2 linked regions of the Struthio camelus genome follow. The protein of the gene in region 2 interacts with the protein of the main gene of each other region in a biochemical or structural test. Links are inferred from orthologs where the notes say so. Each region holds a gene or a part of one and is shown on either strand. Other genes may lie near its edges.

Evidence for each region.
Region 1: the proteins of torsin-1A-interacting protein 2 (region 2) and torsin-1A form a complex in vitro, tested with the Homo sapiens proteins (4 studies listed by BioGRID and IntAct, with this or other methods). The link is inferred for Struthio camelus from reciprocal best matches to the Homo sapiens genes TOR1AIP2 and TOR1A.

The regions. Positions count from the first base shown.
Region 1 is NC_090961.1:6,713,401-6,720,504, reverse strand, and holds the start of torsin-1A, read right to left. Parts: upstream 4,150-7,104; 5' UTR 4,117-4,149; coding exon 3,903-4,116; intron 3,481-3,902; coding exon 3,215-3,480; intron 1,423-3,214; coding exon 1,247-1,422; intron 1,154-1,246; coding exon 1,026-1,153; intron 1-1,025. Other genes in the region: C20H9orf78 (splicing factor C9orf78 homolog), read right to left, coding at 5,591-5,682, 6,165-6,263, 7,035-7,104. UniProt on the Homo sapiens protein: Protein with chaperone functions important for the control of protein folding, processing, stability and localization as well as for the reduction of misfolded protein aggregates.
Region 2 is NC_090949.1:6,528,420-6,535,523, forward strand, and holds the start of torsin-1A-interacting protein 2, read right to left. Parts: upstream 3,658-7,104; 5' UTR 3,463-3,657; intron 2,344-3,462; 5' UTR 2,234-2,343; coding exon 2,200-2,233; intron 415-2,199; coding exon 109-414; intron 1-108. UniProt on the Homo sapiens protein: Required for endoplasmic reticulum integrity. Regulates the distribution of TOR1A between the endoplasmic reticulum and the nuclear envelope as well as induces TOR1A, TOR1B and TOR3A ATPase activity.

The sequences.
Region 1 (7,104 bases), on a different chromosome or scaffold from region 2:
CAGAAGCCCAGATTTTTCAGTCTCTTATATCAGCCCCCCCGAGACTAGCTCACCTTGCTCCTTTTTTCGGAACTTGCATCTAGCCTTTTTTAAAAAAAAAAATACAGTAGGTTTGCTTCTACTGCTAATATTAAAGCATAATTATCTTAAAATCCTTTTTCCCCGGAAATCCCATGCAAGAACACCCAGGAAGCATTGGACTCCCCACAGCAGGGTCAGCAGGTCAGCTTGTTCCCCTGAATAGCTCCTAAAAGCTGCCTGAAGGCTTTGCCCAGCCTCAGCAAGACAGGTGATCTAACTGGGCTGGAGGCAAGTAACCGTCTTCTCCATATTAAAATGCTGTATGGGTCAAAGATTTATCAGCTAACGCAATACCTAATCTTACCGTCTAGGCTTCTTTTCTGCTTGTTTTTCCCTGCAACCCATTAAAATGTCAATAAACGCTCAGAGTAGACAATCCCCAACATACGTAACCCAACAGAGTCACCGAGTAAACATGCCGGTAGCCAAGTCACACACAGAGTTCCTAACCTCCATTTCATCTCAATAGCAGTCTGTAGGCCTCAGACCTGCACCATGGCTCCTCACTAGCTGAAAACCGGAGCCCATGTCAAGTGGAAGCCACAGCTGTACAAGCGCAGTTCGTACATTAAACGTGGCATCGCTTTTGTTTATATACCTATCTCCCAGCAAATAAATCTCTCTACTGTTCTAGAACAAACATACGATTTACATTTTTCACACCACAGCTGCTCACAGGCATACCATCGACAGCTGATGAATCCATTCCTATACATCAAAGTTAGCGGGATGATCTGGCAGACATCTCCAGAGACTTCATCCAGCATCTTGCAGAAGCCCAAACTCCTCTGAAAATCTTTATACTAGATGTGGTGGCTCCCAAAAGCACAGAAGCACCCAAAAAACAGGGATATATATGTCTTTGTGCAACACCGGAAATGGCTGAGGAGCTGTCAATCCAGACAGGGATTTACAACCTTGAAAGCAATCAAAGTTCTACTCACTATTCTTGTTATTGAAGACAGACACAGACAGCGCATTCTGCATATCTGTGAGCTGTATATCTTCCCTTGTCCTTCCTTTTCTCCAGAAATCTAGTGCCACCTCTGTTATTTTTTCAGCTCCCGCATTGCTAAGTAAAGAAAAAAAACAAAGATTGCAGCTGGAGACAGTTTTGTAGTGCACTGAGTGTACAGAACTGCAAACTTGAGAGGCCACTTCTTACCTGAGGAATATGAAGATGGCTTTCCGGTAAGACACTCCATTAAGAAGCTCATAGTAGTCCAAAAATGGCTTGATGGAGTCAATGAGCCCTGCATGCATTTTATCCATTTCATCAAATATGAAGAGTGATCTGGGACAGATGCTCACATTTCCCCGAATCCATGACTGCAGCTGGTCCTGAGAGGCATAAAAATAAAAGTGATTGAAAGAGTTCATTTGAAAAGACAGAGAATAGGTCTTGTGCTTATTCACTTTTGTTCTGAAAGTGTCGTTTCAATCATGTCATCTTTAACCATGTTTTAGTTAAGAAGCCAGAGGTGTTAAAAGCTGTAAATAACACTACAGCAAAATGTCATACTGGTTCTGAAAACTTAAGATTCAAAATACCAGATACCAAGAAACAGGATGGGGCAAGCATGAAATCTCCTCATGGAAAAGATATTCCTGTAAACACAGCAAAAAGGAGAGTCCGCACACTAGGACAAAGGAGGGGTACCACCACGAAACAGCAACACAAAGCAAAGCCCTGTCAGCTAGGCTGATTACTTTTGGCAGCACTTTGGTCTAAATGTCTTCAGGTGTCCAAACAACAATATAAATTTGCTACTTGAAGAGCATCAGTGAAAAAATCACATTTATAGACCGAGTCACTAGCATAAGTACAAACACAATTAAACACTCAGTCCTGAGTTTTAATCATCTAGAAGTTAAGCGAAGCTGATTACAAACCCTTCTTAAAACACAGCATTGTTTAGAAAGGCTAATACTTTATAATGATTTAAAGACTTTCTCATTGAAGTGTTACATTTAAGATAATAATGAAATAGTAAGAAAAATAAATGGGGGGGGGGGGATTGATCTGTTTGGCAGATGAATGAGTAGTAACCGTTCTGACTGTTTTCAATGATTCATCACTTTCTGAGGTTCCCTGTTTAATCGGTCCCTGAACCACACTGAGACAACACAGGAAGACAGCACTGGCTGTACTGCAGATAAGAAGTGACAGCTCCTCCTACTGTCTCGGGCAGCAAGTTTCCCAAGCAGAAACTTGTTATGAATTCACCTCATAACAAAGACAGAAGAGGATCCATTTTATTTCAAAACAGCCCAGTTGCAAAAAGGGCAACAGTTGGCCATAAAAGAGGAAACAGTCTACAAACCTACTTTCTGTATGGAGGAAACCCATCCTATTCCCATTTTCAACATGTACACGTTGAAGATAAACATGAAATACAGTGCTACTCATTCACACTCTGCTACCAACAACATTAGAAGAACTCACGAACGCAGAAAATGCATGTCTGCGCTGTACTGCCCCTCATTACATCCACCCACCTAGAGTACTGCCCTGACACTTTTAGCAGACTGGCAGAACAATTCCAACTATATTTATCTGTACCTTTCTGAAGACAGTCTTTTGTAATTTGATTTTACAGCTGGGAAATGGATACATAGAAAAATTAAATAAACTGCCCAGCGTGTGATGAAGGAGAAAAGCGCACCCATGTCTCAGATACCCTTCAGCTATCCACGGTACCTGACATACTTGAAAGCTGTCAGCCGTTTCTCCAGAGTCATAAATTCTTATTTGTTTTTGCAGTGCCCATCAGCGTATCACCTATCCCTTGCAGCCTGCTGAATACCCTTTATCATTAAGCAGATCTCTAGATCTGCATCTCTAGACAAAGTATATAGCAATGAAAATGAACCACATCATTTTTCTCTAAGGGGAGGCTCAAAACATTATGCAGAAAATGGCTTTACATTCATGGGAAATCAGTCCTGGTGCATGTTAGGATTTATCCAATTCAGTTTAAGAGATTCCAAAACTGGCACCGGCTACATTTTACAGTGCAAAATAGCATCTAGGCTTCTAGTGCTGACTGTGCCATAACTTTTATAAATTAATACAACAGCTACTGCTGCAGAACTGTGCTCTACTGCTAGGAGATCCACAACGTATTCTTACCTTGTACAGATTGATGCTGTCAGCATGAGGAAAATGCAACGTAGCCACAAACTGATGGACGTATTTACTCTTCAGGCCTTTTTTATAAATGCTTTCGGCAATTATCTTACTGACAAAGTTTTTGCCTGTTCCAGTCCATCCGTGCAAGGACAGGGCAAGAGGCTTTTTGGGGTCTGTGTTATTCAAGAAGCCCTTCACGGCCTTTACAATCACCTTGTTCACTAGGTGCTGTCCAAACAGCTTTCTGTCCAAGCTCTCCTGAAGGCCTGGATGGAGAAGATAACACCATAAGGGAAAAAAAAATAGCAAAAGAGACAATAAGTTTTAAGTCCTACTGGTTTCTAAGGAGGGCCCCGTATCACCGCCAACCCCAGCTCGAACTCCGCCAACCCCAAGCGAGGGATCAAAGGGCTGGCCAAGCTGGAGCACCGGGTGCCCGGCCCATCCCCACAGGGAACCGAGCGGGTCCGGCTGGTGGCCCCCGGCCCCGAGCGGCCTCGCCGCGCCCCCGCCACCAGGGCCGGCAGGAGGGGGCGGCAGGGAGCGTCTCCCCTTGGGTTCCCCCTGCCCAGTTCCGGCACCGAGGGACCCCGGCCACGGCCCCGACTCCCCCCGCCGCCCCGGGCTCGTCGCTCAGCTCCGCGGCCATCCCCTCGGCCTGCCCGGCCCGGCCCGGCCCGGCCCGCACCGGCGGCGGCGCGCCTGTCGTGGCGCTGGAGGCAGCACTCCCTGAAGTAACAGTAGACGCGCGGGTAGGAGATGAAGCCGGTGAGGGCCGAAGCGGCGGCGCCGGCGATGGCCAGTCCCAGGCTGATGGGCTCCACGGCGCGCGCGGGCCCCAGCAGCGGCAGCAGCGGCAGCAGCGCCAGCGCCACCGGCAGCGCGCCCCGCCGCAGCTTCATGGCCCGCCCGGCCCGGCCCGGCCCGGCCCCGGCCGCCGCTGCTTCCGCCGCCGCCGCGCGTCGCTTCCGCCGCCGCCATCTTAGGTCCGGGCAGAGGCGGAGCCGGCGCTAAGGGCAGGCGGCCATGTTAGCAGCGCACCCTCCGCCGCCGTCACGGGACACGTCACGTCCCTTCTTTGGGACAACAACGTGACGCGCCTTCGTGTCGCGACATGACGTGACTCGACCCCGCAAGGCCCGCAGCACAGCCTGACGGGCTTAATTCAAACAGGCCGCGCCTGGAAACGGTTAGCCATGGCGTCCCTGCACGGTAGCAGGCGCTGCAAGGGCAGAGGCGCGGCCCCACACCTGTAGACACGTACTCTCCCACCCCCTTTTTTTTTTTTATTAAACCTGTTTTTTATTTAAATGAAAAATTTGGGTCTATCCCCCAAGTCCCCGGACTTTCCACTCCCCAATGAAGAGATGCTAACGCCTTCACGGCCGCAGGGCACCCTGGCCGTCATCGCCACGAGCACTGAGAAGTTAGCTGCCCGTTTCCCTGAAAGAAAAACTGTCACTTGGGATAATTTAAAAACACTTTTATTATTTCTTATTTCAAAATCTTGCCCTCAGGTTACCTCACATCACGTTTCCTGGGGACACGTGGCTCTCACAGGCCTCAGGCCTCTTCACCTACCGCCACACTGGCCCCATCCGAAGACGGCTGAACATGAGATTTTCCTCACGTTCACGCAATTACAACCTGATCCAGTTTCCTTATTCTTTACAACTAAAATACAATGCAATGAACTGCTGTAGAAATAAGTCCAGAGGGAGGAAAAGATACAAAACAACACTGCGCACCATAAAATAAAAAGTGTAACCTCCATTACTCGGTATTTGCTGTCATTCCTAGCACAGATGAGACGACCCAAGCTATGCTGTGGCCAGGCACAGCTAATGCCAAGATTTCTCCCGGCATCCGTCTGCACTCAGAAGCTGGGCCCAAGAGCAGCAGCACTGAACGTGCTACTGGGGTATCTTACACGCTCTGCACAGCAAAAACCCTTGGGAACAAACAAGAAGTCTCTTACGAAGCTGATTATAGCAAACTGGCTTGAACCTTTTCCCTTACATTTACAAGCCAAACAGCACTGCTGCCTTTACAAGGTCTCTTTCTTTGTATTTTTTAAGAATATGTAAGAATCTGTAAACAAGCCTGACTTCCCACTAAAAAATGCCAACCAGAAAGCTCATGTTCTTAAAAAAAGAAGTTTTATAACTGAAAATAAATTATACAAAAGATTTTACTGACTGAAGAGTTCACAATCACCTGCAAACTGATTCACTACAGGATCACAACAAGAAAAGCCTTGTAGTTAACACCAGCATGTGAAGGCAGTGATTCCCACCCCCTCCACGAGTCACTGACACAAGATCCTGTGCTGGTGGAAAATAACAGCTCCTGCAAAGACTTCAGACCGCGCTCTCATCAGTATCGCCTATTCATCTTCTTGAATTTCTCATAGTGATAATCGTCTGTTGCTTTTTCATTGGGTGGACGTTTGCGATTTGGAGGAGACCCTTCAAAAGAAATACAAGAAAATATTATTTCCTGTCCTTTCACGTATGTAACAGAAAGGAGGAGACATTTCCTTAGCACTACCACTTCCCCTGTGAACTCCTCTAAAGCCACACAACTGACATCCTCTTGCTGCGTGAAATCTGGTTATTCCCTTAGCAGTCAATGCTCCTTAACCCAGCATCCCTAGCTACTCCAGCTCTCTCATCACACCCTCAGCAATCAGATTTGTCAATGTTTCAATCTTGACCTTGGACAGCCTTGGATATCTGTAAAGACATCTTCCATCCAGATGTCTTCATGCGTAACCTAGCAGGGGAGCCAGACCCTCCCATGGGACTTCAAATACAGACTGCTCCACTCCTCCGCTACTTCAGCATCCCCATATTTAAGAGAAGGCAAGCAGAGCCTCATCACTCTGTGCAAGATCCCTGAAGAGTTTCAGTATCTCCACTTAAAAAAATATATCAGATTAGGAACTTACGCTCAGGTTCTGGCCTCTCTGTATCCCCCACTCTCAGTGGACGGGGCTTTGGTTCTTCTTTATTCCTTCTCACTGGTGCATTTAGCTCCTCATGATAAACTGAGAAAAGGAAGACATCAGATACAGAATATTATGGTTATTCAGTAGTGTAATTCGGATGCACATACCTCTATAGCATCTGTTACAACTAAGCAGAAACAACGCAACCTCAGAACAAGCATTCTTGTAATCGGTTCTATGAGTAATCGATACACGCAAGATGGGATCCACCAAACTTCAGTAGCACTAGTTCATCAAAAGTGGTTGTAAGACTCTTCATTTCCTTTGGAACACACAAATCTGACTCTAAATCACCCCTGCAGGCGTGGTTAGACACAGCAGAAGGCTGCCTTTCCTCCAGATGGCTGCAGTATGAGAGGCTCTCCAGGAAATTAATTCCCATCTCCTGTCTAGTAAAATCTATGTTTGCTTGACCACCTGTCTGCTTTGGCAACCTACAGAATGGCTTCTCTCAATTGTAAACCATCATTTATAATCACAGACTAGGCAGGCATTTCTAGCACATGTTCAAGATATAACTTAAAGAAAAAGTCTTGAAATTTATGAGGCACAGTCAAGAGACTGTCAAGGGAGTTCGAGAGCAGAAGGTTAAGCCATAAGTAATACGTCCTTCTCTTTCTTGCTGACGGATAGGAAAAATGGGCCATGCCAGATGGGGTCTTTATGAGCATCGCAGAAACATGAATCGGACAGCTGTTTGTGCTGATACATGAATTAATTTCTCCTGCATCTGACTGCATCCCAACTGACTCCTGCTCTTCTGCTGAAGAGCAGGTCACATCTGGGTCAAGAGAGCTATGTGAGACTTACATCTGTTGTGCTGGACATAGTTGACAGCCATGTTTGTGGGAACAAAGGAAGTTTCACTGTCTTTCTTCTT
Region 2 (7,104 bases):
CACAAGAACCAACAGTCCTTTCTTCTGTTCTGCCTCCTCTCAGCAAAGCCCCTGGTTATCAGCATTTTGGAAGTGCCATGCAAACACACAGATGGGGAGAGGACTCACCTCCATCTGTGTCATCTTCTGCCTGGGATCTTTCTGAGAGACCATCTCCTGTCTCTCCAGATTCTTCCAATGACGCTTTGGTTTCCTGGGGGACCTTCTCCTCTACTGTAGGGCCAGCCTGCCCCAAGTGTGTCACCTTGCCCCCAGCAGCAGTCGATGATTCACCCACTGCAGGATCCCTCTCCTCTGGTTTGCAGGAGGTTTCAGGCCAGCTGCTCGTCACTTGGTGCCCAAGTGCTTCTCGGGGGCTCTCTTGGTGGGCAGGATGCTCTGCTGTGCTCTCCCCCTCATCCTGGGCTGGCCCAGCTGTTGGCATCAGAGTTCACAGCTCAAATCTCCATACAGGAGTCAAGAAAATCTACTTCTTTACCACCACCCGGCAAAACTCCCAGTCTTTGCATTTCAGAAACATCTATACAAACAAATTGCCAAGAACAGAATTTACTGTGACCAGCCATCATCACCAATGAATCGTGCTGCCTCATGCTTTCAAAAAGGACTCAACTGGGTCTTTGCATTTGTGACTGCAATAGTGGCTACGCAATGACTAATCACTTTTAGGGACACACTCCTCTATCTACACTTCAACCTGTCCAGGGCTGGTAAATAGAAATGCTTTTAATGCACAAACCCCGTTAACGTTGCCCTATGATGGGGAGCAGTTTCTTCATTAAGTGTTAGGATATGTTACCACATCTTCCACAGACAGTGGTTTTCCTAGGCTGGTAAATTAAGATGACTGATCTGAAGCGTTTCTAAAGCTGTTGTTGGATATTGGCCGGAATAGTTAATGTCAACACTCTGAGCATCTGCCTGAAAAAAAATTAAATGTTAGCTCTGTTTGTGCTCTGTCCCTGTTCTGGAGCTGTTCTCCCAAACAGTTAAGATCAGGTATTGTAGAAGCAGCAAATTAAGAGCAAATATCAGAGAGGAATTCAACAGAGAGATTCTGAAGCTGAACATTAGTTTGGCAAGATCTGGAATCTTGCAAATGCTTAACACTGCAGCTCAAATCTGACTTTTTTTTTTTTTTAAACAAAAAGGGCGGGAGTGTGAATGATCCTACAGATCTAGCTCTACAGTGACAGAAATGATTGTGCTAAAATTAGAATAAAGATTGATTAAAAATCGCAAGGAACTCCCCACTAATTTGAAAACAGACAAATAGCTGCACTGGTTTCGTGTCAGAACACACTGTCCTTTGGAGCATGATTATTACGTTCTTTGTTGCTGATTATTATGGGAACATTTCAGAACGCTTAGGACAGGTCTTATCTGATTATAGCATCTAGGCATCACTGAAATACCCACATGTACTACTAATAACAAGGTACCAGGAGAATGTAAGTACATGCTAGACATTGAAACGTGAGGAACCTGAGAGGTATCCTGCTATTCAAACTGGGCACAAACAGCGCCTGTCCAGGGAGGTTTCCCATCCATAGATGGTGGAAGAAGGGCTTGTTATTTAAGCACCTGTAGATTTGTGGAATCTGGGCTCTGCAGTTTGGATCCTGAGCTTGAGCCAAGTTGTCTCTGTGTGAAATGTGTGCCTGCCTGCCAGGTATAAATAAGCCTTTGAGGCTCGCTGCTCAAATGGAAGTGTATTTTGTTATAAACTCAGAGCTGCCTTTCTAAGGGGGTCCGTCTGAGATACCAGTGTTCAACAGAGCCTCTTCTTCCTCAGCGGTAATAGGAAGGAGTTGCTCTCCAGCCCCTGCCACCCATTGCATGTATCCCCGCGATGGGAGTTGCTCTACTGGATTGTCCTCTCTCTGGCCTGCTGCCCCAGAGAGGGTATTCTCCTCTCTGCAACCAGCTTCACAACAAAGCTGCCTCTCATGGGGAAGCGCTGGGAGGCTGGGAAGAAACCTCTCCCATTCTGGAGTCCTTCTTGCGCTACAGTCCTGGACACCAAGTCTAAGCTTGTTGCTGCTGGGAATCCAAAACTGAAAGTAACTTATCCTTCCCCTCCCTCCCCACCCCCGCAAAAGATAGCCGCTTTCTCTTTCTTGCTTCAGGTTTCCCTTTTCACTGTTGAAATTTTCTTGCAAAGGGGCAGTACATGGAGCACGAGTGGGATTTGCTTACCTTGGCAGAGGTCCGCATTTGGATTCTCTTCCATTTTCTTGCTCTCTTGGAGTCCTGGGCTCTGCACTGTTCTGTTTCACTTTCCGACTTGGTCATAAGGAGACTTGTCTCCCTGCCGCTTGAGTGGCCGAGCAAGTCCTACCCCTGCACGCAGACACCATCCCTTCAGGGCCTCAGGAATTGCAACTAACCACCAGTAAAACTGATAAGCACAAGCGCAGAAGCTGTGATTGAGTGGAAGAGGAGGCTGCTCCCTCCCTGTCTGTACTTATCAAGCTGCTTGGGTGATGTGAAAATGGATGGATGTGCCCAGGCGCATTTCCAATAATGCATGACACGAGCGCTTGAGCCCAAACAATAGTAACTATTTCACCTGCCCAGCAGGCTACAAACAGTCCAGGGGCTGCACCAGTTTTGCAGAGCTGTCCTGGGACAAGCCAGCACGCCCGGGCAGGGGTTTCTTATCCAGCCGGGCAGCCGCAGCCATGCTGTGCCGCCTCCGAGACTGCAGGCCTCGAGGCTGCGGCTCTGCAGGCTCTTACATGCAATTGGAGACACCCGGTATCCTGCACAACGCAGCTGCATCGACACAGAGCAAAGCCCTAGCTTTATTATGATATTAATAATTACTTTTTAATGTTAATTAATGGATATTAATAAACTGGGAGCTGCGGGCCGACTCTCCTACACCATCCGCAGCGATAGTCCCTCCCGCAGCAGAAGCACCGTGGGAGCAGGCAGCCGCCCGCAGCAGGTAGCTAGTATTACTGGCATAGCCGAAGACAGCGAAGCTGTGTTTTCAAGACCACTCGGAAACCTCCAGACAGGGAGTCTTAGAGGAAACGGGCACTGTGGAAGCAGACTTCTCTGGTGCCCGCGTTTCCCCATCAATACAGACTCCAGCCCATAGGTTTCATGAGCGCAACGCCTGCCCGACCACCAGCCAGCAAGGGTGAGCAGCAGGGAGCAGGTACAACGCACGAGAAACTTTCCCTGCCAGGGACCAGTTCCTGCAGATTTACGTGAAATACAAGACCTCAATATCCGATCTTTACAGCAGCTCTCCTAGCCGAAGGGGGCACCTTCTGCCACCCGATGCTGTCTCTATAACCGGGTTTTCTTGCTGCCTATGAGGCTGGGGGGGGATATAATTGCTGCTGGGCTCGCGTCCCTCCCGTCCCCTCCCCGCGCTGGGTCCCCGCAGTGACGCTGGCAGAAGAAGGAAGTCGGAGGAGCAAAGTCTCTGCTGGAGTCAGCGCTTACCCGTGCAGGTTTGGAGCCGGTCCAGGTGGCGAAGCCAAGCAGAGGGGCTGCAAGAGGCGGCTGGTGACAGCACCGTAGCGTGCGCGCGCCCTTCCCGGAGGCCTGGTGGCCCCGCGGTTGGCAGGACAGCCCGTTCCCCAGCCGTGCACTCTTAATCCTCCGCTGTCAACGTGACAGTGAACTCTGCCCTTCCCCGGTGCCCAGGCAGGCTGCTGGGAGCTGTAGTTTTCCTTCTTTCCCTCCGAAGACGGCTGGCTTTTCCTTAATGAGCAATAACTAGATCAGCAAGGGCATTGCGCCAAGGAGTATTTAGGAAAAGGTCACTTTTTTTTTTTTTTTTGGCTGTATTTCTGAAACTCTGCAGTTGCACGCAGTTTCCTTCAGGCCAACCGAATGACTAGCTTCTTTCCATGTTAGGTAACAGTGTTGCAGATTTAAATAAATCGCAGCAGGGAGAGAAATTGTTTTGAGAGATGATTTAGGAAGACTGAAGTATTACAAAATGCCCCAAATGTAGCCAACAACCCTCAGACTCTGGAAAAGTCACCTTCTGGGAGTGCAGGGAGGCTGGGGCATTCCCGTGAAAGGGAGCGTGTTGAGCACCCGCCTGGAGGGGAACCAGGCGCGGGGATGTGCCCGGCACCTCAGCAGGCAGAAGAGCCCAGAGCGAGCCTGTGCAGCTGCTCCTGGCCTTGCTGGGGCAATGATTTTCAAAAGACATTATAATTGGCCTCACTGTGTCCGCACAAGGGACAGACGCTTTCTGCCCCCTGCCACCCGATACCCTGCTGGGGGGCATTTCAAGGGGACTGGTGGCGTGGAGCAGGGCACAGTGGGGTGGAAAGGCATCCGGTGCGAGGAACAGCTATGCAGAGACTGGAGCCCTCCTCTGAGCCCGCAACCTTTTTACCAGCACCCCAGGGGAGCCCAGTGACAAACTGCTGAAACAAAGTACAGAGAAAGGCAACCGAAATAGTACAGGTATGGAGCAGAGAGTAAACGGCTGGGGCTCTTCCATTTGGAAAGCAGAGAGGGGATTTGATTGATGCTGAGTTGTTACTCACCAGGTCCCTCAGTAAGAGAACGTGGGGCACTTGATAAAACAGGTAGGAGGTCAGGTTCAAGTGGGCAGAAAAAAAAAATACAGATGCAGAAAATGTAGAAACTTTCAGATTTTGTTGCTACAGAAGGCTGTGGAGGCAGAGTGTCAGCAGGTTCAAAAAAAGGATTGGACTAATTCATGGACAGCAGGTCCACCAGCAGTTAATGCAGGACTGGGCAGGGATGTACCTGGCAATGAGAGATGCCATTTAGGTGGAGCATGTGAGCTGGGTGCCGCTCTGTGGTCGCTTTCCTCACACTCCCCCCGCATCCCGAACCATTGTACTGGGGGTGTTACAGCCAAAAAGAGGTCAACTGGGCCATTGGGCCTGCCGGATGGCCTGCTCCCTCTTTCCAAAGGCCTCCATGACCTGTCCCCCTGCCTGTGCCTGCTTTTGTGTCCGTCCCTCAACCTATTGTAATTGCTCGGTTACGGGACAGACATGCACGTGTGCCATGCTACACAAACGGTTAAGTGTGTATATGCGTATCAACACCCATGCTGGTCATAGCAGAAAGGTGGTACCTTATTTTAAGATGTGTGCATGGGCACAAGATTGTACAGATTTTATGACAGAAACAAATCTGCTTGCATGATGTGGACTAATACTTCTAAGATACATGCTGATTTAGGCTGGATAGAGAATAGATGGGCTTCTTCATGGTCAGTATGGATCTCCCTGTTTTCCTACCTCCTGTAGCAGTAGCAAGATTGCACCTGCTCTCCAGCAGTGAAGAAAGGCAGGCAGCTTCCTCGGGGAACTGCAGAGCCACCCTGTTGATAGTGGCTGGGAGGGGACAGAGTCCACCTCCTTTCTTGGCAGATTCAGCAAATTCTTTTATCACGGCCAACCCCTCACAGGTTGCAGTAGAGGACTATAAATCCAGGGAGGTTGGCGAAGCAGGAAGCAACAGTCTCCGTGGCTTATCTACAGAGAGCTCTCCTAGCATCATAGCTGCCGGATAGTCCCAAGATCAGGCTGTGAGTAGATCAACACCTTCCTGAGGGTCCTGGTCTTTGCTGCTGTCCACCTTGCACGCCTGGCCAAAGATACGTTTGACTTGATCTGCTTCGAGCCATAAGTAAGAAATAGGAAAGGTGGTCAAAGTGGACAGGAGCTGCAGGGGACCTCAGGAAAAGGCAGGGAGATTATTCAAAGGAGAGAGCAAGAGGAGAAAGTTGGTAACGTTTGCAGATGTGTGAGGACGCTTCATCCAGGTCACTGATGAAGCTGTTGAACGCTGTCACTCCCTGCCTCCACCTCTGGGCTTGCTGCTTGCTGCTGCCTGGATGTTGAGCCCCCCGATTACTAACCCTCTATGCATTATAGATTACTAAAACTGATGGTGGCACTGCACCCGCCAAGGACCGTGAGTCAGGACAAAGTCAGGCACTAGTGTAAGCCTTTGCAGACTTCACGCTTCGTTACTGAAAAGCATTTTGGCAAGAGAATTAGCTACGACAAAACTGTTTTGGCACTATCCAGGATCACACAGCTATTACAAAAAAGCATGTTGACATTGTGTAATGTTGCTTTTTCCCTTTTAGCGTTCATGCCCTTGCATTTCAGCTGGCATACAGAACTCTGACTTAACAAATCTGATCCTTTTTTAACCCAAGTCTGATGAGGAGTTTTCTTTAAAGAGGAATAGTCTCCCCTCTCAGTCTGCAGGAGGACGAACGGTAATCATAAATCAACTGGATTATAGAGAACATGCTTTCGAGTCCTATTTTTCTTTACCTAATGTCATTGTTTACATAATGTAACCATTTAGTTCTGTTCTTTGGAAACCTGTGAATAAAGCGGTACTTCTTCTAACTTCATTTCCAGCAGGTCACCTGCCTGATCAGAAACGATGAGTCAGTCATCCGGCAGCTCTTTTTTCTACTCGGGTTTGAATCAGAACGAGCAGTGCCGTTGTACTTTGAAACCTCCTTCCTAATGAGGTTATTTATCACACCCTCTTCTGAGTTTTTGCTTTCGGAAACATTGCTCTGCCTCTGCATTCAGCTTCCACACCTGGAGAGAAGGGCGGTATTTACTGGTACGCGCCAAGGTGCCCGTTAATTTGTCCGGCAAATACCGCCTTGCCTCCAAACGAGACGGGTGCCGTGTGCCGCGGGCTCTCGCACCCGCCCGCTCGGGCTCGAAGGGCGCCCGCAGCCGGGGCGGCCAGGGCCGGTGGGGCCCCCGCGGCCTTTACCAGGCCCGAGGCACCGAGGCCGCCGCCGCCTGAGGCGGGCAGGCAGGCGGGAGGCCGGGCCAAGGGGGCCGGCCCGGCGCGCTGGGCTCTCCTTCATTTTTTTCACTTGGGGGCAGCGTGGGGCGCCGGGACGGCCGCCGCCTTTCCCGTCGGAAGCGGGGGCGGACGGGCGGGCTCCGGCGGCCGCTGCCGCCGCCTCAGCGGCGCGAGGAGGGGGAGGGCAGAGAGGAAAGGGCGGGAAGGGCGCGCGGCCATGCCGGGGGTCGGGGCGCCGCTGTACCACGTGACACCGCGGCGCTCCATCCGCCCGCCGGCCCCGCCGAATGGCGGCGCGGC